Linked DNA regions of Macaca mulatta. The protein of the gene in region 2 purifies or fractionates together with the protein of the main gene of each other region. This does not show direct contact. Links are inferred from orthologs where the notes say so. Each region holds a gene or a part of one and is shown on either strand. Other genes may lie near its edges. The genes, in order: SMURF1, SMAD3, SKIL, USP15, RUNX3, LEMD3 and KAT2B.

Region 1 (3,500 bases), on a different chromosome or scaffold from region 2:
GGTTACACGGGCTGCCAAAGAGGCATTCCTAGCACAGAGAAAGAATTTCTCCCACAGACAGACAGACAAAAACAAGCGGAGAGCTTTGTCCTGATAGAAGCCGTGAACAGTAATTTGGTGATGTTTTGGTTGTCAAGGCTCAAGACTTACTTCACTGTGTGTTGATTGGGCACAGTGGCTTAGGCCTGTAGTCCCAGCATGTTGGGAGGCCAAGGCAAGAGGTTCACCTGAGGCCAGGAGTTTGAGAGCAGCCTGGGGAAACTAGCAAGACCCTGTCTCTACCAAAAAGCAAAAACAAATTACAAATCTTTGTATTAGAGGCAGAAAAGCACAGGGGGACATGGAGAACTCACCACCACTCCTGCCCCGCCCCCCATTCCTCTCCCCTCCCACACACACTTCTCGCTGCCTGTCCTTGGCCTTGAGGTTGGTCCCAGGGCTGGACTGCCCACCCAGTGACTCTCACTTTTTTGTCCTTTTTCAGCTTTAACCGGATCGACATTCCACCATATGAGTCCTATGAGAAGCTCTACGAGAAGCTGCTGACAGCCGTGGAGGAGACCTGCGGGTTTGCTGTGGAGTGAAAAGCAACCAAAGGCAACAGAGTCTAGCTCATGGCCACCAGACCAAAAGCATCCAGCTTCTGTGCGCCTCCTGCAAAGCTGGCAGAGGCCCTGGAATTCCGGATCACCTGAGGGGAAAGGGTTGTCTCTCTCCTTTCTCTTGGGGGAGGGGGATGGGGGACTTTTGTTGGTGGCTCCCACCCATATATCTCTCCTTTATTATAGTACTCCCACCCGCTTCCATCACCCATCCAATAAAATGCAGCCAGGGTTAGCCTTTGGCTTTGGTCACACAGGATATTCTGCTGTGGTTGCAACCCATGTGGTGATAAGGCTCATGGCCCTGAGCTCTTTACGGGAGCATCAGCCCACAGTTAGGGGACTGAGTGTGGCTGGCTGAGGGTTTGGAACTGCTGGCTATCCCCGCTGTTCCATCTCAAATAGCCTTGGGGCCCCTTTTCAATTTGAGCAGCTGCTAGATATCTTACCAGAGCTCAGATTCCAGATTTCACATCCCAGCAGCCTGTTCTGGGCAGCAGATGAATTTCCAACTGAAAAATAACTGCCTAACGTATGCTTATTGGAATTCTGCCACAGCAGGAAGCTTGAGTCAAAATGCGTTGCCCCTTTGAAAGGAGAAGGAATTGGAGCAGCTTTTCCTGGAGCCAGGATATTTCTTTGCTGGGTATCTTGGCTGAGAATATTTTACGTAGAGAAAAACCATCTTTTAAGGGCCCCTTTTGCTGCATTATCTGTCCAGTTTGACTTTTCTTTTCAGTGAAAACACCATGTCACGGAGTGTAGAAAAGAGCAGACCAAAATCAGCCCTAGAGCCAACCAGTCAGTCCCAAAGCTGTGACCTCTGTGCCACTGTTGTCCATAGAAGAGCATCAACTGTGTCACTTAAAATATTAGTAAACCATGATGCGGCAACTGCTAAGAGCTAAACTAACAAAATTGTGTTATCATAGCTGCTGGCTTGGTGCGAACTAGCTTAAAAGCAATGGTGAAAGGATAACCTCGATGATGTAAATCCACCCAAAGATACTGTTCTACAAAAAGTAGAGTGTGGACGCAAACCTGTGACCGCAGAGGGGGACAGCTCCACACTGCCTCGTGTGGCCCCTTTCCCAGTGGCAGCTGGTGACACTAACGATTGCTACTCGGTTCACTTGCCCAGATGTCTTCGTATGATCAGCAAGGCCAGAAGCAAGCCTAGACTCGAAGTTTCTGACACCATTTTCCAGTTTGCACAGAAGTCAAACAGTGTTTTATCTTAAAGTGGCTTGATTTCCAGTAGCTGAACTTGGGCAGAAAACAGCAGCAGCAACCAATGTTCCTGTATGGTTTCTTTGTTGTTTTTGTTTGGGGTGGGGGCAAGTACAGGGTAATCGATGAGCAAGACATTTCACTGCTGTCGAAGTCTCTGGGATCCCGCTGTGGGTCTGAGATGGCCTGGGAAGGACCTTGTGGACAACGGTTTTATCTGTTCTTTTTGTCACTGTTGACTTCTGGGCTGCTGAGGTTCTAGAATGGAAGGGCTGCCAAACGAGGTTTGCTGCAGGAGGAAAGTTTAATCCCCCATTCCAGAAGTCCAGGCCCAATGGTGGGCTTAGCCTCTTTGAAAAGCTCTGCCTTGCCCCCCCAGGTGGGCGCATCCTGTGTCTCATTCACCATGATGCTTCCTGAAGGTGTTCTAGAAGCCCGTTTCCCAGTGGCTCTATCCAGCCTTTCCTTGCATCTTGCTCTTGAAGGTGAGGAAGTGAAAACTAGAGCCCTCCCCCGGAGAGCCCACTCTCTGTCACGAGCCTAACCCACGGGAGGCGGAAGAGACATCCATCCGAGAACTGAAGCGGCCTCCGGGATGAGGTCGGAGGCCCCACCTGATTGTCCTGGTGGTGGTATCCAAAATCTGCAGTAACTAGGAAGGAAACCAGGGTCTCATGGTTTAAAAGACTTTGAAGCAGGAATGTTGCATTTGACGCCTTTAAAACTACCTTTTTGCTGTTGGGAGGAGTCGGGGGCGAGCCTTAGCAGCTGCACCCGCCAGCCCCATGCTGGTCGGTGCTGCCCTGCCTCTCATGCCGGGTGTTGCTTCAGCCCAGAGCCAGAGGGCTGGGTCCCGGGTCCTCCACAGGTGGCCCCGGCGGACACATGGCATTCCTGTCCCGGCCCCCGTCTCTGCTTTTCCACTTCCACCTGCGTGTGGGTTTGCCGCCTTGTCATCGGTCGTGTGAGCGTCGCAGACCTTTCCAGAGCTCCGGTTCACTCTTTCCAAACAGGCCTCCCTGTCGGTGGCATCGCACTCCCAGAACCTTCAGTTTCTACGATGGTTTGTTTGGTCCTTTTGAACCACCCCAAAGAACTCAATATGGCAAGCAAATGGTAAAAGCTTCCCGACTGTTGGACTTTGGGTCCGCACGAAGCCCATTCACGTGTGATCTGTGTCGCCCCTCTCGGTGGTCCCAGGCGATCCAGCCATGCCCCCTGCCCCTCTGCCCAGATGCTTCAGGGGCCCGGCTTTTCAGGCTTGCCCTCACCAGCGGCCGTCAGCCGACACTCAGGGATGTAGCAAACACCACTCCGCCAGTGCTTTTGGTAGGAAGAGCTGAGGCTGCCTGGGAGGCCCGGGGCGACAGGAAAAGGGCTCTCTCCAGTTCTGAAAAGAGAATCTGCCACCAGATCGAATTTCGACCCCTGAGCTTGTTCAGACATATGGTCCGAATTCAGATTAAGGTGGTCACCCAGTCCGAGATGTCAGGAAAGGCCTTCTGCAGAGAAAATGTCCCCCTACCCGCCATCTGCAGCCAGGTGTGTGCCGCACGGCAGCCTTCCCGAAACATAGTATGGATTTTAAAAATGTGTTTATTTTTGTTTCTCAACCACTTTATAATGTATTTTTTAATTTATTTTGTAATGTCTTGTTTTTAAGTATTG
Region 2 (4,123 bases):
CATTTACTGGGAATTATCAAATTTCCGATCTTTCTCTATCAGGAGATCCAGCAACACCGTGTTATGTAAATTTCTTCCAAAGATAAATTCGAAAGCACCTCCATTCATTCCTTCAAGAACTCAACAGATGTCCTTGAGGCTCATTTTCTGCCGGGCACTCAGTTCAGAAGGCTCAAAGGATCCCTGGCTCCAGCCATTGTCCAGGTTGTCACTGGTGTCCCCAGCTCTCCATTTCTGAGGACCCACTTCTCCCCCCCCCACACCCTCCTCCGCACACTTTCCCAAGGCTCTCGGCCGGTGTGATCTCACCAACGAGAGAATAAAAACAGCCCAGGGGCGCGGGCGCGGGCGCGGGCGCCGGCCAAGAGCCTTGACGGGGATCAGCCAGCGCGAGGCCAAGTGCGGGCCCCAACTTCCTGGGCCCGGGCCTTCCGCGCGCCCCCTCTCGGGCTCGGGTCCTCTCCAGGGTTCACTCCCGTCCGGACGGCGCTTACTTGCTGCGAGTCCAACCCTCTCCGGCCCGCAACTCCAACCGAGCCGCACAAGTGTGGACTCCGAGAGCGGACGCCTCGGGCCGCGCTCAGCCCTCCCGCCCGAGGCCCCTCTCGCCGCGCGTTTCCCAGGACTTCCTCCCCGCGCCCGCCCGACTTCAGGTCGGGGCCGCGCGGGGTCCCGCGCGCTCCAGCCAGGACTGCCGCCGCCCGCGTTGCCCACGTGGGCGTGCTGGGCACGGGGTGGTGGCCGGCCGGCCGGCCGGCCGCCCTCCCCGGAGCAGGGGGCGGGCAGGGCGCCCGCGGGAGGAGGTGGCGGGGCGCAGGGGAGGAGGCGGAGAGCCCCGGCGGCGAGGGGGCGGTGACAGCGCTTGGAAAGGAGGCTGCACGCGGATTTGCATGAAACACAGACTGGGAGCGGGCGGGAGCGGGAGCGCGGCGCACGCCCCGGGCCGGCCCAGCCAGCGAGCGAGCTAGCGGCGAGCCGGGAGGAGGAGGGTGGCGAGGCGGCGAGGCAGCAGAGGCGGAGGGATCTGCGCATCAAAGCTAGCAAGGCGAGCGAAGTTTGGCCGGGGGTTGGACTTTCCTTCCCGGAGGCGGCACCCAAACAGCTACCCCGTGCGGAAACCCAAACTTCTGCTGCCACTTGGAGTCTCGCGGCCGCCGCCTCCGCCCCGCGTTCGGGGCCTTCCCAACCCGGCACCGCTGCCGTCCGCCCGCCCGGCCGCCCTTCTCTTCGCCGTGGGAGCCGCTCCGGGCGCAGGGCCGCGCGCCGAGCCCCGCAGGCTGCAGCGCCGCGGCCCGGCCCGGCGCCCCAGCAACTTCGCCGAGAGTTGAGGCGAAGTTTGGGCGACCGCGGCAGGCCACGGCCGAGCTCCCCTCTGCGCCCCCGGCGTTCCGTCGAGCCCAGCCCCGCCGGGGGCGCTCCTCGCCGCCCGCGCGCCCTCCCCAGCCATGTCGTCCATCCTGCCTTTCACTCCCCCGATCGTGAAGCGCCTGCTGGGCTGGAAGAAGGGTGAGCAGAACGGGCAGGAGGAGAAATGGTGCGAGAAGGCGGTCAAGAGCCTGGTCAAGAAACTCAAGAAGACGGGGCAGCTGGACGAGCTGGAGAAGGCCATCACCACGCAGAACGCCAACACCAAGTGCATCACCATCCCCAGGTGGGGGCCCGCCCGGGGGACCCGGGGACACGCCGACCCGGCCCCCTGGCACTGCGGGGCCGACCCATTGGGGTTGGAGATGGGAAGAGGGAGAGAGAGGGAGTGAGACTGTGTGGGTGCGTGTGTGTGAGAGTGGGAGCTAGAGCGCGGGCAGGAAGGGGGTGGGGGGACCCCAAACAAAACCATCTCTGCATTTGCAAAGATCAGAGCCCGAGGCTTCCACACGGTACTCTGGCTTCCAGACCTCACATTCCCTTTCCACCTCCGGGAGGGGAGAGCGGGTTGTTGCGGGACTCGGCCGCCCCCACCCTGGGGAGCTGGGGCTGGAAGTTGAGGCCCGCTTTGTTCGGCTCCGCGGGCCGGAGCCCCTCCTCCGCCGCCGCCGCCTCCCGCCCCCGCGGCCCGCGCTCGTGGAGGTGGTGGTGTCTTTGCGTTTCTTTTCTTCAGTCCGGTCTCCCCACTTTCCTCTACAGGAATGCGGTCCGTACAGCTGGGGCTGTGGGTGAGGAGCGGGAGCCTCGTGATTGACAGATTCCTTCTTCGTTCTTTCTTTGCCTTCGGGATTAGCATTTTTATCGAGTATTTTTAGACTCGGTTGTGCCAGTCTCCCGCCCCCTGAGCACGCACGCACTTTGGTTGCAGTGCAATGCTCTGACTTCCAAATGGGAGAGACAAGTGGCAGAAAATAGGGTCTTCTCCCCCACCTCCCACTCCCCATCCCGACTCTTTTGCCCTCCTTTTGGTCCAAGAGATTTTGAGTCCGTGCAGAATGAGGGAGAGGGGCGGGCTGGAACCGGGCAGATAACAAAACACACCCCAAAGTGGGCCTCGCATCGGCCCTCGCATTCCTGTAGAGCCCTCCTTCCCAAAGCGCGCTGCCATCTGTCTGCATCTCCTTTATCCTTCCTGTTGCGCGCTAGCTAGGTCGGGCGGGAGCCCACAGATGGCTGATAGAAAGGGTCAGTGACTTCTCTCCACTCCCCCAGGGCCTTCCTTAGCTTAGCTGTGCCTGGCTGGGAATTGGGGGTGGGGATACCTTGACTTCCTGTCTCTACCTCTCAGCCTCCTTTGATTCTGAATCAAGGGAGAGAGTGTGTGTGTTGGGGGCTGGCTGTTTTGGGGGTCCCAGGCTGCAGAGGAATGAGTAGAAAGCACCAGGGACTGTAAGCCAAAAAAGGGATTGTCATCCCTGCCCCTGGGCCAGGGTGGACTCCATCCTTGGCCACCTGCTTGGGGCAGTTGTACAAGGGCTGCCAGGCGAGTCAGGCAGGCACAAAGCAACATCTGTCCACGGGAACCCAGGGCAGGCCTCCCCTGGAAATAAATGCCACATATGGTGGGAGTGCAGACTTAAATTTTTTTTTTTTTTTTTTGACTGGGTGGATCCAGTCAATAAAGGGGGAGGGAAGGCGGTGTGCTGTCTGGGGAAGTCCCTGGCCGTGTGATCGGGAGCCAGAATTGACTTCAGAGGAGGTGGTGTGATGTGATGGTCAGAGAGACCTGGGATTTGGTTCCAGCTCTGGTTCTTAATTCTTCTGTATTCCTTCGGTGGGGGTGGAGAGGGTAGAGTGGGTGAATATGCTACTTCTCTGTCTGGGGAGGGGTCTGTCAAACCTACCTTCCTCTTATCTGCCTGGGTGCATTGAAGACAAGTGCTTTATGCATTGAAACAGGAAAAAAAATGGTATCAATTATAAAACAGGCAGCTGTGAAAAGTGTTTCACGGTTTACAAAGCACTTTCACATGGTTTTCTGAGGTCCTCAAAACAAGATAGAAAGCAAGCAAGCAAGCAACCAGCCCTGGAAAGTAGATAAGGTTGTTAGGCTTAAGATTATCACGTTTTTAAAGCAGAGGAAACTTTAAAAGAGAGAGGTGAAAAGGCTTGAGTTGTAGACGTGGGATTCTGACAGAATGTGCTCTTTCTGCTGACCCATGCTGCTTTATACTTTGAAGATCCTGAATACATTCTTTGCTGAATGCTAAAACTGTGTTAGCTTGGGGAGGGCCCTGTGGATGTTTGTATGTGCGGTTGCTTCTTTAATCTTTGGGCTGGTGATCGCTTGGCAGAGAGGCCCTGCTTTCCCTTGCCTTGGTAGGAGTTTGTCCTCTGTGGGGCCATACCTTTGGCCTGCCTTTTCCTCTTCCAAAGTCCTGCTGAGACTTTGGAAGCCTAAGACATGTGAACGCTTTGGATGATTCTGAGGGTTCAAGCCAACCTGCCCTGTGGCCTTCTCGTGACTTTGTTAGGACTGAGGCATCTTCTGCCTGCCTGGATAGGACTGAATGCAAAAGCAGATTTTTTTTTTTTCATCTTTTTTTTCAGTTAGGGAAACCCAGTTGCTTGGGTGGATCCAGACAAAATGGATTTTCATCCTTGGATTTTGTGCCCACGCCTCTGGGTCACCTTGTGTCCCTTGGCAACAGCTGCTGCTGTTTTGGTCGTGGGCAGAAAACTAAAGGCCACGTCTTGG
Region 3 (3,965 bases), on a different chromosome or scaffold from region 2:
CACCCTACACGCCTCAGAGGGTCACAGCCGGAAAGCTCTTGAGTCCTATATTCCCAACCTCGTCTCGTCACTCTCCAAAAAAAAAAAAGAAAAAGGCCTCAGTAAACACTGTAAAAACCTGTAATTTATAGCTCCCTTCTGGAACCGAGAGAGCAGCCTGGTGGGGTGGAGGCAGGAGGCTGGGGAGCAGGGATAGAAATGTTTGCTCTCGGTTTTGCCAGAACTTTGGCCACCCCTCCCGCCCGACCCGATGGCGGATGGAGGTCAGCCAGGGGAAGGCGTCTGGGTGGAGGCCGCTCGGGCGAGGCCGGGGCCGCCGGGGCGGGGCGGAGCGCCGGCAGCTGGCTGGGCGGCCCTTGGGCAGGAGGCCCCGAGGGGGCGAGGGGCAGCCCAGGAGGGAGGTCCCGCGGGGGCGGGGAGCAGAGCCGGCCCCCGGGGCCCTGCAGGGCGGCCGCCGCCCGGCTGCCTCCGGGGCGGGGCGGCCCAGCTGCGGCCCAGCAGGGGGAGGGTCGCCCGTGCCTGACCTCGGGCGGCGGCGCTCTGCCGGGCGAGCACTGCCTCCGCCCTGCCGGCTGCTGGGGTCGCGCACAGTGCACGGCGTGGCTGCCCTGCCCCCTCTTCCCCGCTGCGCGGCGTCCGAGCGGCCAGGGCGCCCCCGGGTCTGGCCCATCACCACAGAGCGGCGGGTGGGGCGGGGGCGGGGCGGTGGCCCCAGACAGCCGGCTGGGCGACTAAAGGAAGGAAGGAAGGAGGGAGGGCGGCGGTGAGGGTGGGGTGGGGAGGGAACATCCTGTCTGCGCCGGGTGCACCGCAGACAGCGCCGCGCGCCAGCCGCCCAGACGGCGCGCGGGGCCAGAAGCGCCGGGCGCGCGCCTGGGGGGAGGGGCACGCGCGCGAGACGACTGGGCCGGGGGGTGCCCTGAGGAGCTACAATAGGCCAGACGGCGCGCGCGTCCCCGAGGGGGTCGGGAGCCGCGAAGTGGCGGCGGCGGCGGCGGAGACGCCGGCGGTCCCGCGCGCGCGGCGCCGCCGCTGGCTTCGTTCCCTTCCCCTCCCCCTCCCCGCCGCCCTCGCTCTCCCCCGGGCGGCCGGAGACGGCGGCGGCGTCTGCGGGAAGCCGTGTGTCTCCGCAGTGACGTGGGCGGGCCGAGGACTCGGTGACGTCAGAGGGCTGTGTGTAGCGATGTGTGTGGGGTTCGGAGCGGCGCCGGCACAGCCGAAGGGAGCGGGCGAGCGGCGACGGCGGCGGCGGGCACAGGTGCGGCTCCGGCTCACGGCTGGGACGCGGCGGAGGCGGCGGGAGGCCAGAGGCGCTCACCCTCCTGGGAGCCCGACGGTGGCGACAGGGGCGGTGGGGAGTTCACAAAGCTCGTGGAGCTTCCCGGGCACCGAGGCCCGAGTAGGGGGTTTGGATGCGCGGGTCCCGGGGGGGGGGTCGGGGCCAGAGGGGGTCGCTAGGCGCGTGTCCCACAGCTGATCACGCTTCGTTGGCCCCAGGCGGTGGGCGCGGGCAGGGCAGGGCGCTGCACTTGACGGGAGCCGCGGGGACCCCGGAGACCCGGACGCCCGTCACCGCCCCCCTCCCCCACTCCAGCAGCGCTCCGCGGGGATGCCCTGGTCTCGACCCGGTCCGTCAGCCCCCGGCGGCGCGGGGATCCGCTCTCGGCGCCTGAACTGCCCCAATGCCCTCTTCGTTCTGGCCCGGGGCTGGCGGGGGGAGGTGCACCATTAGGGTCGCTGAGGTGACACCCGAGAACTTCCCAGGGAGTGGGCGCGCGGAGGGGGGGGGATTTCCACAGTCCTTCCCGCGGCCCCCGCGGGGGGGCGGTGTTGGGAGGGCACTTGGGGTTATCCCAGGCTCGCGGGTGGGGGTGGGGGGACTCCTCCCTTTACTTCCCTCCGCCCCCTTGCACACCCACCCCCAGGCTTCCCGTGTCCCTTGTTCTCCCCCTCTTCGGGTTAGAGATAGGTGGGTGGCTTTGAGTGGGCGGAGGACTTCAGGGTTTTAGGGGCTCCCGCATTCTAGGGCATGCCTCTTGCCCTCTTCCTTGGCCTGTGTTGACTGAGGTGTGTTCTCGTGGTGGACAAAAATCTGTACGATGGTTGGTGGCATTGGTCCTTAATCCTTTGGGTCTGTTTTAAGGTAAATTGCTGAGAGTTTGGGAAGTAAAAATTTCTATTTATTGGATTTATTTTGGGTTTTCTCTCAAGAAGGAAGTAGAAGAGTCTTTTCTTTTCCCCTCTTCCTCCATTTGCATTCTTTGTGAGGTTTGTCTGCCTTGTGCTTTTTGTCCCGGATTAGTCTTGTTCAAGGTTGGAGATTCCCAGGTGTGGAGTCTATAGCTTTTGGCTTCCATTAAGTAAAATCGCTAACCTTTTAAAGAGAGAGTTAATTTTTGTCTACAGTTATTTCAGAAAATTAGTGTACATGGACTAGCTGAATTAATTCACTTAAAATTGTAACTTGGTTACATATGGTAGATATGTTAACTCCTATCTGATTTTTTTGGATGAAACTGTTTTTTTTTTTTTTTTTTTAAATAGGAGATGAAGTAATGGATTTTTTTCCTCCCTTAAAATGGCATAACTGAGAAAGCCTCTGGTACTGATTGAGATGATCTGTTTAAGAGTCTTCATGTTCTGAACTCGAATGGCCTTTTGTGTTGTATTATTGCTAGCTTTCTCCAACTCCAAATTGCTTTCCTATTTAAATGAATGTTCTTCTAGTAAACTGGTGTTAGATTTAAAGAAATCACTCAAGCTTCACCTTTGGTAAAGTGAACTCAGTTTAAGATTGAGCAACTGGTTTCGGCCGGGTGCGGTGTCTCACACCTGTATTTCCCGCACTTTGGGAGACCCAGGTGGGAGGATCACCTGTGGTCTGGAGTTCCAGACCAGCCTGACCAATATGGTGAAACCCCGACTCAACTAAAAATACTAAAAAATTAGCTGGGCGTCGTGGCTTGCGCCTGTAGTCCCAGCTACTCGGGAGGCTGAGACAGGAAAATTGCTTGAACCCGGGAGGCGGAGGTTGCAGTAAGCCGAGATCACTGCACTCCAGCCTGGGTGACAGAGCGGGACTCCGTTAAAAAAAAAAAAAAAAAAAAAAAAAAAACCAACTGGTTTTAAACTGGCCCCGTTTGGCCTCTGAAGCAAATTCAAATGTAACTGTTCCCCCACCCCCTTCTCTTCTTCCAGATTAATTAAAAGAAGAATGAACTATAATCCTTGAAGATAACTGGGCAGTTTTTTAAGTCGGAGGCTTTTCTCACTGGTTTGAGGATTTACACACGTCTTCGGTTTTCCAGCACAGACCAGCAGACCATCATTTTTAGAGGACATACTCCCTCTGCCCTCCTTTTCGGTTTCCTTGGTGGTAAAGATTAAATTTGGTTGCATCATTTTGAGTTGTGTTTGAGTCTAGATTTTATGGCCCAAGGAATGGCATAAACTTTTCATGTGTTTTGCTTAAAACAAACCAAACCATTGCATTGATCCTGGACATCTTTAATTGAGAAATTGGTAACTTTATTTTAATATGTATATCTGAAGAATTCAAGAAAACAAAGGCATTCTCAGAGGTGTGCCTCTTTATTGTTAGAGGCAAAACGAACAGTTACATAGGACTTGCAGTGAAATTATACCAGATTATATAAGGAGAACCAAAACTAAGTCGCAAAATTTATTAATTTAAGGGAATCTCTCTTTGAAAAGTTTCTTTGAGAGTAAGTTACTATAAGCATTTGTATACATTCATTTCCTCTTTTTCAAATAAGCAACTAAATAGAAATGCTAATCTCAGATTTAATTATTTAACAGAAGAGTGTAGGATGGAAAACCTCCGGACAAATTTCTCCTTGGTTCAGGGCTCAAATAAAAAACTGAATGGGATGGGAGATGATGGCAGCCCCCCAGCGAAAAAAATGGTAACAGACATTAATGCAAATGGAAATATGATAAACAAG
Region 4 (4,236 bases), on a different chromosome or scaffold from region 2:
GCATGATAATGCAAAATATTATTATGATGCAGAAATAAGCAATCATAATCATAATACTGATATACACAAATCATAATGCGAATGTACACTACTTTCACTTGGAAGGATTCATCACTTTCTACTAGCGTAACTACACCTTCTTCATTGCATTCTCACCAAATGAGTTAGGGTTTAAAATGGGGAAACAAGAGAAATGATGCAGGGATTCTGGCCCATCTTTTAGACTTTTCACATCAAATGGTATGTTAAAATCAAACCCCTGGACATCATGCTCGGGAATACTTAAGTAATTTTGCCACAATTCATTTATTAAACAAATATTTAGGTGATTTTTACATGTCCAGTAGTACTATGCTAACCACCAGGTATACAGAGGTTAAAACAAAAGATGAACCCAGTTCCAGCTCTTAAGGAGTTTACATTTTAGTCCAGGCTTTCATAAGGAGAGGCAATGAGTGTGCTGTACTGTATAGCACGTGGGCTCTTGAACCAGCCTCTCCACTTACCTCTCCACCTGCTGTGTGACCTTGGCATTTGCTTTTTAAGCGACTCGATTTTCTATTTTGTAACATAATCGTTGACTTCAAATGAAAGACATACCTAGTTTCATTTCAGGTGTACGGCACCACAGGAAGATGGGGCTAAGAAAATGTTACTCTCTTGTATAAAGAAGAGGGTTTCTCTCACGTTTTCTTCCTTTAGTATCTGGCATTATTCAATAATGTCCATATTCTACTCGATGTTCACCGATGAACTGGGACATGTTTTTCACCGCAGCTTAGTCGTCTGGGTGTGCCTGGGGAGGCGTCACAAAGAGCCTATAAAGGGTCCCCACCTACAATGGGAGTAAGAGCGCTGGAAGGAACCCCGGAAGGGCATGGAGACCAAGCGTTCGGTTTCGGAATGTTTTTTGTGTGTGCCCGTATTCACCGAGCTTGGGTTCTGCTACTTTTAACGAAAAGCCCAGTCGCGGAGCTGCTAAATTTTCTGCCATATCTTAGCCGTCCCCACGCCCCCCCGCCCCACCCTACCTCACCCCCAGGCGTGAGTGAATGCGCAAATAAGGGTTTTCAAGGCGTCAGTGGGAAAGAGGGAGGGGAAGGCAACGCCGAGGATGGGAGGACAGGGCGGTGGCATCCTTCTAGCGAGAGAGCGCCGGAGCCCTCGGCGGCGAGGAGAGCTAAAACCTGGCTGTCCCGAGCCAGAGGAGGCCGAGGCAAGATGCTGAACGGGCGGGGACCGATGGGGGGCAGCAGACCATGGCCGCGCACCTAGTCCGCCCCCGGGGCCTCCTCTTGTCCCGAGGACCACCCCCGCTCCCGGTGTCTTTTGGTTTCGACCGGCCGACTGGGAGGGGCCGTGGGGACGCCATTCCCATAATGCTCTGGGGCGTGCCGCCGCCGTCGCTGCCACCTCCCCTACCGCTAGTGGAAGAAGATGGCGGAAGGCGGAGCGGCGGATCTGGACACCCAGCGGTCTGACATCGCGACGCTGCTCAAAACCTCGCTCCGGAAAGGGGACACCTGGTAAGAGAAAGGGGTTGAGATGCCTGCGGTTGCCCGAGGATAGTGGAGAAGAGGGCGGGAGCCGCGAGCTGGTGTCTTTCGCTGGTGACAGGTGCGGGCAGGTCTGGCGGCGGCCGCCGGGGTAGCAGGATTTTGGCTGCTTCTGAAATGTTAGGGCAAAGGTTGGACTCTAGATGAGGGTCAGGGTTCGTGGCTTGCCAGGGCATGCTGAAAGGTGTCCGGAGAGCGGCGGCGGCGGCGGCACTGACTCGTGCGGTTCTCTTCTTCCTCCTTCCTTCCGTAGTGCCGCTCCCACCTCAGGCCTTCTCGAATGATAGGTTATAGTGGTTTGGTTTGAGTCTCATATACGCTGTTTTGACAGGTCCCGGTGCCGCGGCTTATCATGATCTCACCGGCTTTACTTCTCTGTTCATTTCCTTTCCTAGAATTGTCGGCGTCCAAGTTCCCTTTTATTCTGATTCTTGTAGTCTTCCGGGAGGCAGGCTGCAGGATGTTTGCGGTCTGTACTACACAGGTGGCATGTCAGTGCCCCACATAAGAGAAAGAAACCCTAGTTTCCAGTTCCTTGTCAAAGGAGGGAGAGGAGTAGGGAACCTTAGGCTTATGAGAGACCACGTGGTCTTGTGCTTTAGTGGTGGCTTGATAAAAGCCGGCAGCGTTTCTGTTAGATGTGCAGCCCTTCCCTTCTGTTTGAAGAATAACGTAGGCCTGCAAAAAGTTGATAAGTCCACTTGAGGCTTAACTAACTGCTAATATTCGAACTTGTAAAATACCAAAGGATATATATTTATAATACTGAAGGATGTATGTGGACATTTTCACACTTGTCGGCCATATCCAGTGGCATCTAGAATAACTTAAATATGTGAATATGTAACATAATTTAAAATTCCTTATTTTTGGGGAAGGATAATGTGCCTCTTCATTATAATAAAAAATATTTTCACTTCCCACTGTTACCATAACAGTAGTATATAATTTATAGAGTGTTTCACTATGGCATAGTGGAAGGAGCAGTAAGATTTAGACCTGAGTTATGTCACAGTTTCACCACTCAACTTGCAGTATGACTTTGAGGAGAGTTAATTTAAATCATTGCACCTCAGTCTCTTCTGTAAAATGGACAGTATTTTATTATAAAGGTTTTATCTTGATTCGTTTTAATATCTTAAGAATTTTATGTTTATGAGATACTAAATTTTAGTTACCTTCTGCTCTTTACTCTTGACAAAAGGCTGTGATACTGGGATCATTTTCAGTTAAGCTAATAGGTGGCAGATTTAGGACCATAATTTAACCTTGATCTAAGTCTTAGTCTCTTTTTTCTTTTTTGGTAGGCTGTATACTATGTGTATACGATAGAAATCCCTAAGGATGTAAATATATACTTGTTTCATTGTATCAAAAAAATAGAATCTTCAAGTGACTTAATAATAGTTATTTTTGACCTGGCAGGGTGGCTCACGCCTGTAATCCCAGGACTTTGGGAGGCCGAGGAGGGAGGATCACTTGAACTCAGAAGTTCGAGACCAGCCTGGGCACCACGGCAAAACCCCGTCTCTACAAAAATACAAAAAATTAGCTGGGCATGGTGGCACGCCTGTGGTCCCAGCTACTCAGGAGGCTGAGGTGGGAGGATTGCCTGAGCCTAGGAAGCAGAGGTTGCAGTGAGCTGAGATCCGGCCACTGCACTCCAACCTGGGCAACGTGAGACTCCATCTCAAAAAAAAAAGAAAGTTACTGTTTTTATTATAATGTTAGTAAGATGTTTATTACTGTGGGGAAATTGGACATTTCCTAGGACACCCATGTTTACCTTGGCTTGTGGTATGACAAATAAGTCCCTGCTCACTATTGTAAGTTAAAGAACATTTAAAAATTCTTAATTCACCCAACCTATTACCACCTTATTTTAAAAAGTGAATTTCCTTAAAATAGAAATCTATTAAGTCTATAAGTTAAAATATAAGTATTATTGTCTCATTAATGTCACGTTTTTGTATATGGAGTAATTGGTGTTGACACTACAGGATGATAGGAGCAATATGTGCATTGTGGGCGTTTAACTTTATAAAGTTTGGTATTTTCAAATGAGTATATTTTTGCTTTTTGACAAAATTAATGTAAATTGTTTTATATATGTGCGTGTGTGTGTAGAGCTCCATAGGTACAAACTGTGTTTCACTATATTGCCCATGCTGATCTTGAACTCCTAGCTGCAAGTGATTCACCTTAGCCTCCCAAAATGCTAGTATTACAAGTATAAAGCACGACTGAATACAAGAGGCTCATAAATTTGAGTCATTTCAGTGCTTTTATTTTAAATAAAAGTAAACTGAGGACCACATATTTAGATAAAAGCAGATTGTGCAAGTTTATCCTCACGTTAACTTTCTCTTAAAGGAAAAAACCTGAGAGAGAAAGAAGGTACTGGGAGTTGCAGAAACCAGTTTGATTTATTTGTAAGCCAGTTTATTTGCAAATTAGCAAGTGAAACCTGTTCAAAAACAAAGTAGTATAGAACAAAAAATTGATTCAGAGTTTTAGAGAGAATAATTTGATAAGTATGAATTTGATGATGAACTTACAAGTACAGAACTGGTCAGGATATGTATTAATTTAGTTTATGTTTTTGGAACTCACTAGAAAGTTGTTTTTCCTTTTAATACCTTTTTTTAATCTTTGAATCAGGTTCTTTGAAATTTACCAT
Region 5 (4,136 bases), on a different chromosome or scaffold from region 2:
TAGGGGAGGGGAGTGTCCTGACCTTCCGCTTCCTAGCCCTGCTGTGGACAACTTAGGATGCTCTTAGGTGGGGACCACTGGAGAGAAACTGGGCTGTTTGTCCATCGATCTGATGGAAGAGGGAGAAAAGACCTCCATGCCAGCTGGGGATGCCAGCTGGGGAAGGGCGAGGGTGTCTGCATGCCCCAGGTGGGGGAGTGGGAGCTCTCCCTCCCATCAAACAAACGACAAAGTTTGTCGGTCCAGGATGGGGAGGAAGCAGGTTGGCGATCGGTGGAAATTGGGAACAAGCTAGCCTGTTCTGTGGGTCTTCTCCCCAGTGCCTGAAAACGCGAAGGCGGAAGGCGTCCGTCTCATCAGAGGTGAGGAAGGCGGCCTTGGTTTGACACACAGCCATCGGTTTGTCAGAGACCTGGCCGCATTGGTGGCAAGGAAAGGGCACCTTCTTGGGGGACGGCCACCGCGCCTGCACCCGGGGCCGCAGCTGGCGCGCATCTGTAGCCTGGCAGGGCCCGCACCTCCGCGGCTGGCAGGGTGCGGGCGCCAACTAGCGGCAGCTCCCGCCACCGTGCCTGCCAGGCGGCCGGGCGACCTTGGTCTGCGGACGCAAGGGCCTGCACCCCGCCCCCCAGTACCTTGGATCTGGTGCCCATGGAGAGCCAGCGCTCTACGGAGGGCCGGAGCCGTGCCGGGCCCTGCGCCAGGTGCCAGGGCTCACAAGAGTCCCCCACTCTCTGGGAAGCCGTCTGTGAACCCGCCGTAAGGGGAGAGGGAGAAATCAGGCGGAGGGACAAGCAAAGGGCACGGTGCAAACCCAAACCACTCGACAAATGGAATTTACCACCACCTGAAACTGCGGGTCATGGTCCCGCAACAGCTCCAGGGCAGCACGTGTTGCCCGCCCCCGGCCCGGGCCCTACCTGGCCACGACGCGCTGGGCCTTCCCGGAGACGTTCCTGGAGATGGGAGCGCCCAGGCTGGATCGCTCGCTTTCCTCTAGTTCTGCTGCTCATGCCAGCGCGTCCGAGGGTGCGCGGGCCTGGGTCCGCAATCGACAACTGCCAGGCGCAGGCTCTCTTACAAGGTTCAGTAAGGGACCTTTGCCGTTCTTGCGTTCGAAATGGCCTGAGGGCGTGATATGAGGCCTCGAGCCGGGCAGGGGCCAGCTCTTCCGACGGTCGGGGTGAGGCCAGAGTCCTTCACCCCTTGAGCGCACGAGGGGCTTGATTTCGTTTGGCGACGACGAAATGGCGCACGCTGGGCAGGGGTCAGATCCGTGATGAGATCTTGCGGCCACCGTCGAATCCTAAGCTTCTTTACTTCCGAGGCTTGGAATTGACTGTTTTGCACCTGTCGAGAGCCGGAGGCAACGAAAATATAGCCCAGTCTCCAAAGCGGCGGGGAGGCTCAGCACGCGTTCGTTCCCCAGAGTCTAGGGAGGGGTCTGGGGCGATAATTCGGAATGATTGGGGCTTGATCTTTCCCGTTGCCCTCCCAGCTGTAGCCGTCCCCTAGGCCTGCTCGACTGACTTAAGAGGCGGGAGAGGAAGGGGTTGTTTGCAGTGAAGCCCGGGAGAGGTTGGGCCACGCGGCTGGGAGTGGGAGCGGGGACGCGGAGCCAGGAGGGCAGGCAGTGCCTTGGCGAAACTGTCAGCAGTCCCTGCAGCGCAGCCAGAGCGCACGAGCCCAAGAAGTGGGATTGGATCCGCGGAGGCCACTTTCCACACGCATGGAGAAAGAAAATTCTCTCCTCTGAAAGCCGGGGCCCTTAGCTTTGCAGCCACTGCTCAGTTTTTCTTTTGTCGCCGACGCGCGTAGTGTTTCACGATGCAGGACCGTAGTTACATGCGTAAAGGAAAAAAATCGGGAAAACGCATTTTGCAGGCCTCGTCGTGTTTTTCAAAGAGCCACAGGCCGCCACAACGAAGAACGACGCCGCGAGGCCTGCGAGATCCTGAAACTTGTTTTGAGGGGAGAGTAGAGAGGAAAGGGGTTGTTGGCCCCAGGCTACTTAGGGTCCCTGGGAGACTCCCTTCCGCCTGTCCTCGGTTTGGCACAGGGGCCACCGAGGCTGGGACCAAAGCCGCGCAGGGCTGGGAGCGGCAGAGGCCGCCGGCCGGGCGTGGACGGCGCACAAAAATCCCATGTGGGTTGGAGGCTCTTGGGTCAGAGTAATTTGCGGGAGGAGGGAGGTGAGTAACCTCTTTGGGGCGGCTCCCAGTGCGGTGTCACCGGCCCTGGGCTCCCGCGGCCCCCAGCCCGGGGTTGCAGAAGTCACAGGCCCGAAGCAGCAAGAGCTGGGGAAGCCCGGCCGCGGCCAGCGGGGAGGAGGGGCGAAGGGTTTGCGCCCCAGCGTCAGGGAGATGCGACCCGGGAGAGGGCGACAAGGGCGCCTTCTGTGGGACCCGGACGTTCTAAGCAAATTTCTAGCATCTGCCCCGGGCTCCCAGAGCTCTCGGGGGCCCTGGGCTGTGGCACGGGGGCCTCCTCCGCGGGGTGGCGCCTTCCGCCCCTCCCCGTTGGGCGGCCTCCGGCAGGCCCCGTTCCTCCCCGCGAACGCCACCGAGGTGCCCGCGATGGGGGCTCCGCCGATTGGCTGTGCGACGCGTCGCTCGGGCCGGCCCCGCCCCGCGGGCCCCGGGGGTACTAACCCCGCGCGGGCGGCCACGGCCCCGCCACTTGATTCTAGAGGATTTGTTCTGGGGCTGCGGCCGCGGAGTCGGGGCGGCCGCGGGCGAGCCTCGGGGCGGGAGGCGGCGGCGGCGGCGGCACAGCCCCGCGGGGGCCCCGCCGCGGCCCAGGCAGCCGGAACAGCCGCGAGGGGCGGCCGCACGCGGTGCCGCGCGCCGGGGATGCGGGACTAGCCGGGCAGGCTGCGGACGGCCGTCGGACTAGCGAGGCCTCGCAGCGGGCGGGCCCTGGCGAGTAGTGGCCGGGCGCCGCCCCCTGCGCCCTGAGGCCCGGGCCCCGCCGCTTCTGCTTTCCCGCTTCTCGCGGCAGCGGCGGCCGAGGAGGCGTCCGCGCCGGCCGCCCCCGGGGGAAGCCGCGCCGTCGCCGCCCGCCCGGCGCCCTGACGGCCGCTGTTATGCGTATTCCTGTAGACCCAAGCACCAGCCGCCGCTTCACACCTCCCTCCACGGCCTTCCCCTGCGGCGGCGGCGGCAAGATGGGCGAGAACAGCGGCGCGCTCAGCGCGCAGGCAGCCGTGGGGCCCGGAGGGCGCGCCCGGCCCGAGGTGCGCTCGATGGTGGACGTGCTGGCGGACCACGCGGGCGAGCTCGTGCGCACCGACAGCCCCAACTTCCTCTGCTCGGTGCTGCCCTCGCACTGGCGCTGCAACAAGACACTGCCCGTCGCCTTCAAGGTGAGTGCGGGACCCGGGGCGGGAGGGCGCCGGCCCTGGGGCTCCGGGCGTCCAAGCTGCGGGAGCCAGAACCTCCGGAGCAGTGGGGAGGGGAGGTGCCCCAGAGGCCGCGGCGACACCTGGGCACCCGGTTCTGTCTCGCTGCGCACTCGGCTTGGGGACATCGGCGTTCCGTTTTGGATGCGCCCTGCACGGATGACTTTTAAGGGGGTTGCCCCGCTCCACCTGGGTTTTAGGGCGCCCTGCGTAGAGACGTTGGTGCGGAAATGGGCGGATGGGGTTTTGCCCCCCCGCACCCGGATCGCTCAGATACAGCCCTGCGGGTAACGGAGAAGAGGATCCCGGCACCGGGGCAAGGACACCGCGGGTGGGGTGCGAACGGTGAAAGGGCCTACCCTCCGCCGCCAGCACCCCTCCTCCCGCGCCGCTTCTCAGACGCTTCCTGCTCACACCCTCGGGCTTCCGAAATTTTACGGGACGGCGCTAGGCCGGGATCGGGGCACTGCTCTCCAGACGTTTGCTGGGGGATATTCTGCGTCCTGAATGGCAGGTTGAGATTGGGGGACCCCTAACTCTGGCAGCCCCCAGCCATTTAGAGGACCTTTTTCTTTATGCCAGGGAGTAGGCGACTGTTTCATTTTCATTTTTTTAAGGGGGCAGCGAGATGAAACGAAAACGCCTCGGTTTTCCCCTAAACCTCTCACAGCTGCCGTGAGAAAAGGGCAGGGCAGGAAGGGCCGGCGGCTGGGGGTGGTGCTGCCCGAGGTGGCTG
Region 6 (4,102 bases), on a different chromosome or scaffold from region 2:
CTATGCTTTTGACTAACATTTTTCTGTACAGGTGTATAATGTAACGTAATAGGTAAAATAGCTCATTCAACAACAAAAAATTATTGTAGTATTTTGTAGCTACTAGGATTGAAGTAATAAAGAATTGTCTGTCTGCCAAGGTTTGGGGAAATGGGAAAATGGGAAAAGATCTTCACCACACTGGGCATATTTCACCTCTCTGGGATTCATTTCCTATTCTGTAAATGGGAGAGTTGGGTTTCCAGGTCTCGTCCTTGTTTTTTTGACTTTGTGTGAAGGTTTCTCCACCTCACCTGGCACTAGTCTTATTTCAAAATATTCATCTCATACTATCCTTTGTTTGCAATTCTTTAATTAATTCAACAAATATTTATTGAGCTTCTACTAGTATCGTAACAGAAGCAAGGTTCCTCCACACATGGAGCTTATTACAGTCCAAAAGGATAGGACAATAACTAATTTCGAAAATAAATACAAATATTTATTAATAACTAATAAATAAAATTGGTTGGAAAGGCGCTAAGAAGGAAATAAATAGGATCATGTGTTATGTCTTTGAGAGTCTTAAAATGAAGCAGATAAGCTTTCACTTTCAAAAGTGCTCACGTAGGGAAGTCATTAGGTTTCAAAAAAGGAAAAAATAAGATAATATCTTACAATTAACTAATGAATATGAACAGCCATTACGCTAGAAGAAAATTGTATTGTGATTGGTGTACTCTGTATCTTCTCAGAATGGGAGAGGTGAGGCTTCTCAAGAGCAGTGAGAGAAAGTCAATTTTTTTTTTTTTGGTAAGTCAAGCGAAAGACGAACTGAAAATAGACAACCTGAAGTCAGACGGGAAAGCTGCCAATCTAGTCTGGCCAGCAGAATTTCTTTCAGTAGGTCTAGGCTTCCTTGGCAGTGGGAATCCAGATGTAAAGAAAACTTATGCCATGAACTTCAAGGTAATTTCAATTATTACTGCCCGGTGGCAGGAACCTAGGAAGGAGAGGTCAAGGTGTGGTTTAGTAAGAGACAGCTCCTGGGAACGGCGCTTGGAAGGGCAGGGCGGAGAACAGCTGGAGATGAGACAGAGAAGAGCGGGGAGAATGCGCCGACACCTCAAGGTGAGAGAGTAGAAACAGTCTCCGCCGTGGGAGCCGCGCGCTGCTCAGGTGGCTGTTTCCCGCTCAGGTGAGCTCCTCCCGCGCCTCCCATTGGCCGAGACGTCCGCGGCGCTGGGAGGGCGACGCCGCGCGGTCTAGTTCAGGGTCTAGGGCGGCGCGTCACTTCCGGTAGCGCGGAGCTTGTAAAACACCCTGGAGAGAAAATGGCGGCGGCAGCGGCTTCGGCACCTCAGCAGCTCTCGGATGAGGAGCTTTTCTCTCAGCTCCGCCGTTACGGCCTGTCTCCCGGACCAGTGACGGAGAGCACCCGCCCGGTCTACCTCAAGAAGCTGAAGAAGCTTCGAGAGGAAGAGCAGCAACAGCACCGGTCGGGGGGCCGCGGCAACAAGACGCGGAACAGTAATAACAATAACACGGCAGCCGCCACGGTCGTAGCCGCGGGACCAGCGGCGGCAGCAGCCGCGGGGATGGGGGTCCGGCCAGTCGCGGGCGACCTCTCCTACTTACGGACTCCTGGGGGCCTGTGCCGAATCTCGGCCTCCGGCTCGGAGAACCTCCTGGGAGGGCCCGGGGGCGCCTCCGCCGCCCCCACGGCTGGCAGCAAAGTGCTGCTGGGCTTCAGCTCGGACGAGTCGGACGTGGAGGCCAGTCCCCGGGACCAGGCCGGCGGCGGCGGGAGGAAAGACCGGGCTTCGCTCCAGTACCGCGGGCTCAAAGCGCCGCCGGCGCCCCTGGCCGCCAGCGAGGTGACTAACAGCAACTCTGCCGAGCGAAGGAAGCCCCACTCGTGGTGGGGGGCCAGGAGGCCGGCGGGCCCCGACCTGCAGACCCCGCCGGGGAAAGATGGAGCAGTGGAGGACGAGGAAGGGGAGGGAGAGGACGGTGAGGAGAGGGACCCGGAGGCCGAGGAGCCGCTCTGGGCGAGCCGGACCGTGAATGGCAGCCGGCTTGTCCCCTACAGCTGCCGGGAAAACTATTCGGACTCAGAGGAAGAGGACGACGACGACGTGGCCTCCAGCAGACAGGTATTAAAGGACGACTCCGTTTCCCGGCATCGGCCCAGACGAACCCATAGTAAGCCTCTCTCCCCGCTGACTGCTAAATCGGCCGGCGGCAGGCTGGAGACTTCAGTTCAGGGAGGGGGAGGACACGCGATGAATGACAGGGCGGCGGCTGCCGGGAGTCTAGACAGGAGCCGAAACCTCGAAGAGGCGGCGGAGCAGGGAGGAGGGTGTGATCAAGTGGACTCCAGCCCGGTTCCTAGATACCGTGTTAACGCTAAGAAACTGACCCCACTCCTGCCCCCGCCACTTACTGACATGGACTCAACCTTGGATTCGTCAACAGGCTCCCTTCTGAAAACCAATAATCATATTGGCGGTGGGGCCTTCAATGTGGACTCTCCCAGGATTTATTCTAACAGCCTCCCTCCCAGTGCGGCGGTGGCCGCCGCTAGTTCACTCAGGATCAACCACGCCAATCATACGGGCTCCAATCATACCTACCTGAAAAACACATACAACAAACCGAAGCTTTCCGAACCCGAAGAGGAACTTCTCCAGCAATTTAAACGGGAGGAGGTGTCCCCAACAGGGAGTTTCAGTGCCCACTACTTGTCGATGTTTCTCTTAACTGCTGCCTGCTTATTTTTCCTAATACTGGGACTGACATACCTAGGAATGAGAGGGACAGGAGTATCTGAGGATGGAAAACTCAGCAGTAAGTATTAAATCCTGTGGGTAAGGTAACAAAGGGAATGTTGTTAGTGGTCCGCTTTAGCCGCGCTTAGCGTTTTACATGAACTGACTTACCTGCAAGAACATGGTTTGACAGCAAAAACGCAACAGTCAGTGCATGTGTCATCTTTCTTTAAGAAAGAACACCATTATCGAAATGATATCATATGACTGGTGTTAAGTTTTCTGCATGATGTATTGTGAAATTCAAAACAATTTTTAAAAGAATATTATAAGCTTGTTAGTAAAACTCATTTGTATATGTGACAGTTTTCTTTTAGCCCTAAATATTTGCGCAGATGCCAATCACTCAACAAATTTGAAGTATTAGGATAAGGCACATTATAAATGTAGTGTTTTTTCAAATTGAGTTGTGATTCTAGTAGGCAATGTAGTGGCTCTTGAAATTCGAATTATTTGTAGTATTAACTGTATGCATAAATTCGGGTTAAATATTTTGTCGTATTAACTATATGTATAATTTCTTAATAGTGAATGAATATAAAAAAGCAGCAAGGCACACCTCTTAATTTATTTCCCAGCCCAAAGCACTTTCCCTGTCATCTGTACAAAAAGTAGTGGTAGGGCAGTGCAGGAGCTTGCAGTCAGATTTCCTTGGATTGGTTTCCAGGTCCTGTTATTTACTTGCTAAATGACTGTAGGTAGGTGTGTTCATTGTCATTATCAAAGTATTTCTGCCCTTAAACACAAAAAGAAGATGAATACAGACCATTTTGTGTTCTGCGAAGGAAATAAAGATGAGTAATTGAAGTACACAACTTTATTTTTTTTTCCTTTTTTTAAAAAAACTTACCACACTACACTGACGTAGGTGTACACTGCTTTAGATTGAACGGAGGAGGTACTGTTTGAGGTGAGACCTGAAGCAGGAGACAGCCTTGTTGAGAAACAGGAGACCATTCTGAGCAGATTGTAAGAGGAAGGACCTTGAGTTGAGCAAGAGAGCCTTCTTGTAGGTTAAAGTGGTTAAGCACCTTGAGCAAAAGGGAGAGAGTAAGAGTTAAAGCTTCTGAACTTTCCTAATCTATAAAATGAGGCCTCTATTGACTAGAATGATGTTTGTGAAGATTAAAAGAGAAAGTAAATTAGTACAAAATGGACTTCTGAATACATAATTTCTCAGTGTTAGGTCTCTCTCTGCATTCCCCTGAAGCCTTCCTATTTTCACCCAAGATGAATTCACTGTATTTTTATTTGTATTCATAAAGTTGGCTTATTAGTTTTATTTCAAAATA
Region 7 (3,500 bases), on a different chromosome or scaffold from region 2:
GCTCAAAGCACCTCATCTAGATGAGTGTTTTAAAAAATATATATAAAAAGTCTATAATGAGACTTCAAACATCACATATTTCACCTCTTACAGGCTTTTTTAAAATCATGTATCCCTTCCTTAAAGTCCTTCGGAATAAAATAAAAATAAACTCTCACATTCCATTAGAAAAAAATGGAAACATTCACGGTCTGAAAATTTTATGAATTTCCCCAAATTTTGCTACTATGTGCAATTTCCTCACACACAGGTTTTGAGGAAACCCCTAATCATCTATCATGGAATAGTCAGCTAATGGACATGCCATAGAAAATTTACCTTAATAGTAGTAAATAGATTAAAATCTATTCCATAAAATAAAAATGTCCTATGACTTCAATTTAAATACATATCTGAAAAGCTAAAAGGAGGTTTTTTGTTTTTCAAAAGTGCTAATTATTACATTTACAAGTCTCTTCAATACATCATGTCCAATTCTTTGTAAAAAACTAAACCACCTTGCTTTAGGCACACTGCTTGATGAGTTTCTAAGAAGCAGAGGGGAAAAAAATCACTTGTCAATTAATCCAGCTTCCTTAATTTTACTGAAGAAGAATTTCTCCAGGATATTGGCACATTTGTAGTATTCACTCTCAGGGGGGTTGTACTCTTTGCAATTGGTAAAGACTCGCTGTAAGTCTGCCATGAATAATTTCTTAGACACGTAGTACCTATTCTTGAGGCGTTCACTCATGGTTTTCAGATCTGCACAGGAAAAAAAAATATTAGCAATCTTTGACTCATTTTAAACACCAGCTGACAAAACTGGGACTGGGAAAGAAATCTATGTTGTTGGTTTGATTACATTTTTATCATCCCAATGCTTTTATTTAAGAGAAATTCTTATGATCAAGGAAAACAGTTCTTAAATCTTATGTTCATTCTCTTGTGGGTTCTTTAAAAATGTCAAATCACAGCCATTTTAGCATTAAAGGGACCATTATTAGTCATCTGGTTCAATCCCCTATTCAGCACAAGGAAGCTAAGTAGATTAGCAACAATAAGTATGATGAACTGACTACTGTTAGCTATTCATTCAGAATTACACAGAAGAAGCTCTATCTATATGGAGCAGAGCAGGTGGATCGTTGGTATTGAATCATTTAATTACTTAAAACTATCAGACTGCGTTTGTTTCACTAAACTCACAGTTGTTTTGGTGTCATATAGATAAAGTAGAGAAACTAATAATAAATACATCTGTGAACACACCAGTGACCTTGCATGTAAAATGATTCGAATGAATTTTGCTTCAAGCTCCATCAATGAAATAAGAATAACAAACTTCATTTAATAATCTATTTTCTAAAGCAAGTAAGCCTTGTGAGACTATTGCAAAGAATTTCCCAATATAGCTGCTTGCTTTAAATGGCAGAATTTTACAGGTGAAAACAGTACTCCAGCTAAACTGATAAAACTAAAGAGGGGTTTCCTCAGTCCTCACTGTCAGGACTAATTTAAAGAATTATATGCAGATTAGAATAGATGCTAACATTTGTCTATTTATGGTTCCCTGGTTGTCTTGAAGTCTGGCTTTATTGTTAAAAGCTATAATTGTATTAACTATGTGTGGAAAAATAAGTCAAATGCGGGGGGGAAACACTTTTGACTACCCAAATCCCAAATTCTAAGCATGTTACAAAATTTCCAGGGGAAAGAAACCTATAACCAAATACACTGGGATCATCATTTAATAAGGTAAGTAAATTTATGTACAATATCCCCAAATGGGAAGAAATTCATTTGCATCAATATCCTAAATCCACCACAAGAGCATCAAAGAAGAAATGGAAAAAAGCTGCTTCTGCCTATCTCTTGATTAAAGCCTATCTTGGTTAGAGTGTATGTCATCACATCTATAAATTCAACTTTCAACTTTTCTTTCTTCTCTAACTAAAACAATTTGGAGAGAGAGAAAAATCTAAAAGCGTTAAGAAACACAAAGACTCATCAAATCCACACTAAATGTCCCATCCACGTGTGACTGAACAGATCAAAATGTTCTCTCATTTAAGGAAGAAAAAAACAATGAAATTGACCCTAAGTAAAAGTAGATGTTTACATTCCTTTCACTTTTCCACCTAAATGTCTACCACTTAAGATGTGCTGCCCAATATAATATTTATAACGTTTTAAAAGGAAGAAACATGTACCCCCCAAAAAGGTGGAGGGGGAGCAAAAGGATGACACAACACAAAGAAGTTTGTCCAAAAGCTTTCGAACTACTTTTAGGAGGTGGGTAAGAAAAGATGGAGAGAGCCTAAAATGCAACAGAAACAAAGCAAGAATTATGGAGGTGTCTGGACTTTTCTGAATAACTATAAACAATTCTGAATACTTCCTTTCTATTCTATAGCTATAGATAGCATTTTTCTTCCTCTGGCCTTCTTAGAGTTTTTTCAATTGACAAAATGAGGTGGGTTAAAAAAGGTGACTAAATATTGGTGGTACCAAATATAGAGACACCATTAAATTATTGTTTTCATGTCCCTTCCCCTTAATTTGGGAATTCTGGATAAGCATGAAAATCCTGCCTAGCCATCCATGTGTAACAAGAAGTCATGCTTGGGCTGGACTATACAGGTGATGTCCAGTGTGTGACTCCCTAAATAAAACAGGTTAGATCCCATCCATATGAGAGAAAACAGGTTAGATCCCATCCATATGAGAGAAAATCTCATCCATTTTTAGAATATGGGGAAAGAAAAGTAATGTTATTAGAAAAATCAAATAAGGAAACAATGGGAAAATGTAAAATTATTGATTTGTCATTCTTGTCTTCAAATACAAGATAATCTTGGGGACAAAACTAAATATTTTACTCAGCATCTAAACAATACCAAGAAAAAAAAAAATACTGCCCTACTGAAGAACACCATTTATAGCTTTAATTAAGTTTGTCCAGCACACATTTCAGCCAATCATTGGCCTTGCTCAATTAGGTCAGTTTTCCCCTCGTGAGACTCAGCTATGCACACAGGTTGTATCCAACTGGAGAAGTTCACAACCTTTACAGGTTGGACCAAGCAAAAACACTTTCAGAAAGCAGGCTGTAAGTAGGCTATGATCAATGGGATCCGCTAGACCTATCACTGCACGTCTTCAGAGTGCACGTGGACAGGGGCTGAAAGGGCCCCAAACTGACACAACTTCCCATGAGGGTTTCACAAAAGAAGCTGAGACAGTCCAGAGAAGAGGATACAAAAATCAGTTAATTTATGGTTAGAAATGGACACAAAGAGTTTTAACATATTTTGCACATAGTGGACAATACTGATTCCCAAATCAGCCTTCCATTCAGAATTCTAGACTGACTCAACCCTACCCTTTATTTTCTTGTACTGAAATAAATAGTGGTAAGGCAGAGAGAAGAGGGAAAGAAAAGCATATAGATGTGTGTCCACTTTAAGGGGTGTAGGCTACTGAAATCATTACTATAAATATATAAAATATTCATGTGA

The links.
Region 1: the proteins of SMAD3 (region 2) and SMURF1 purify together in Homo sapiens (affinity purification with western blotting; 3 studies listed by BioGRID). This does not show direct contact. The link is inferred for Macaca mulatta from reciprocal best matches to the Homo sapiens genes SMAD3 and SMURF1.
Region 3: the proteins of SMAD3 (region 2) and SKIL purify together in Homo sapiens (affinity purification with western blotting; 6 studies listed by BioGRID). This does not show direct contact. The link is inferred for Macaca mulatta from reciprocal best matches to the Homo sapiens genes SMAD3 and SKIL.
Region 4: the proteins of SMAD3 (region 2) and USP15 purify together in Homo sapiens (affinity purification with western blotting; 4 studies listed by BioGRID). This does not show direct contact. The link is inferred for Macaca mulatta from reciprocal best matches to the Homo sapiens genes SMAD3 and USP15.
Region 5: the proteins of SMAD3 (region 2) and RUNX3 purify together in Homo sapiens (affinity purification with western blotting; 3 studies listed by BioGRID). This does not show direct contact. The link is inferred for Macaca mulatta from reciprocal best matches to the Homo sapiens genes SMAD3 and RUNX3.
Region 6: the proteins of SMAD3 (region 2) and LEMD3 purify together in Homo sapiens (affinity purification with mass spectrometry; 3 studies listed by BioGRID and IntAct, counting the BioPlex papers as one, with this or other methods). This does not show direct contact. The link is inferred for Macaca mulatta from reciprocal best matches to the Homo sapiens genes SMAD3 and LEMD3.
Region 7: the proteins of SMAD3 (region 2) and KAT2B purify together in Homo sapiens (affinity purification with western blotting, with the first as the bait; 3 studies listed by BioGRID). This does not show direct contact. The link is inferred for Macaca mulatta from reciprocal best matches to the Homo sapiens genes SMAD3 and KAT2B.

What each region holds. Positions count from the first base shown.
Region 1 is NC_133408.1:46,244,825-46,248,324, reverse strand, and holds part of SMURF1 (E3 ubiquitin-protein ligase SMURF1), read left to right. Parts: intron 1-484; coding exon 485-584; 3' UTR 585-3,500. UniProt on the Homo sapiens protein: E3 ubiquitin-protein ligase that acts as a negative regulator of BMP signaling pathway. Mediates ubiquitination and degradation of SMAD1 and SMAD5, 2 receptor-regulated SMADs specific for the BMP pathway.
Region 2 is NC_133412.1:44,588,264-44,592,386, forward strand, and holds the start of SMAD3 (mothers against decapentaplegic homolog 3), read left to right. Parts: upstream 1-1,323; 5' UTR 1,324-1,445; coding exon 1,446-1,651; intron 1,652-4,123. UniProt on the Homo sapiens protein: Receptor-regulated SMAD (R-SMAD) that is an intracellular signal transducer and transcriptional modulator activated by TGF-beta (transforming growth factor) and activin type 1 receptor kinases.
Region 3 is NC_133407.1:82,071,540-82,075,504, forward strand, and holds the start of SKIL (ski-like protein), read left to right. Parts: upstream 1-1,165; 5' UTR 1,166-1,258; intron 1,259-3,198; 5' UTR 3,199-3,830; coding exon 3,831-3,965. UniProt on the Homo sapiens protein: May have regulatory role in cell division or differentiation in response to extracellular signals.
Region 4 is NC_133416.1:69,549,034-69,553,269, forward strand, and holds the start of USP15 (ubiquitin carboxyl-terminal hydrolase 15), read left to right. Parts: upstream 1-1,436; 5' UTR 1,437-1,437; coding exon 1,438-1,526; intron 1,527-4,236. UniProt on the Homo sapiens protein: Hydrolase that removes conjugated ubiquitin from target proteins and regulates various pathways such as the TGF-beta receptor signaling, NF-kappa-B and RNF41/NRDP1-PRKN pathways.
Region 5 is NC_133406.1:216,032,486-216,036,621, forward strand, and holds the start of RUNX3 (runt-related transcription factor 3), read left to right. Parts: upstream 1-1,336; 5' UTR 1,337-2,144; coding exon 2,145-2,753; intron 2,754-3,043; coding exon 3,044-3,364; intron 3,365-3,759; exon of another isoform or gene 3,760-3,981; intron 3,982-4,136. UniProt on the Homo sapiens protein: Forms the heterodimeric complex core-binding factor (CBF) with CBFB.
Region 6 is NC_133416.1:72,335,616-72,339,717, forward strand, and holds the start of LEMD3 (inner nuclear membrane protein Man1), read left to right. Parts: upstream 1-1,302; 5' UTR 1,303-1,313; coding exon 1,314-2,829; intron 2,830-4,102.
Region 7 is NC_133407.1:28,410,232-28,413,731, forward strand, and holds part of KAT2B (histone acetyltransferase KAT2B), read right to left. Parts: intron 745-3,500; coding exon 551-744; 3' UTR 1-550. UniProt on the Homo sapiens protein: Functions as a histone acetyltransferase (HAT) to promote transcriptional activation. Has significant histone acetyltransferase activity with core histones (H3 and H4), and also with nucleosome core particles.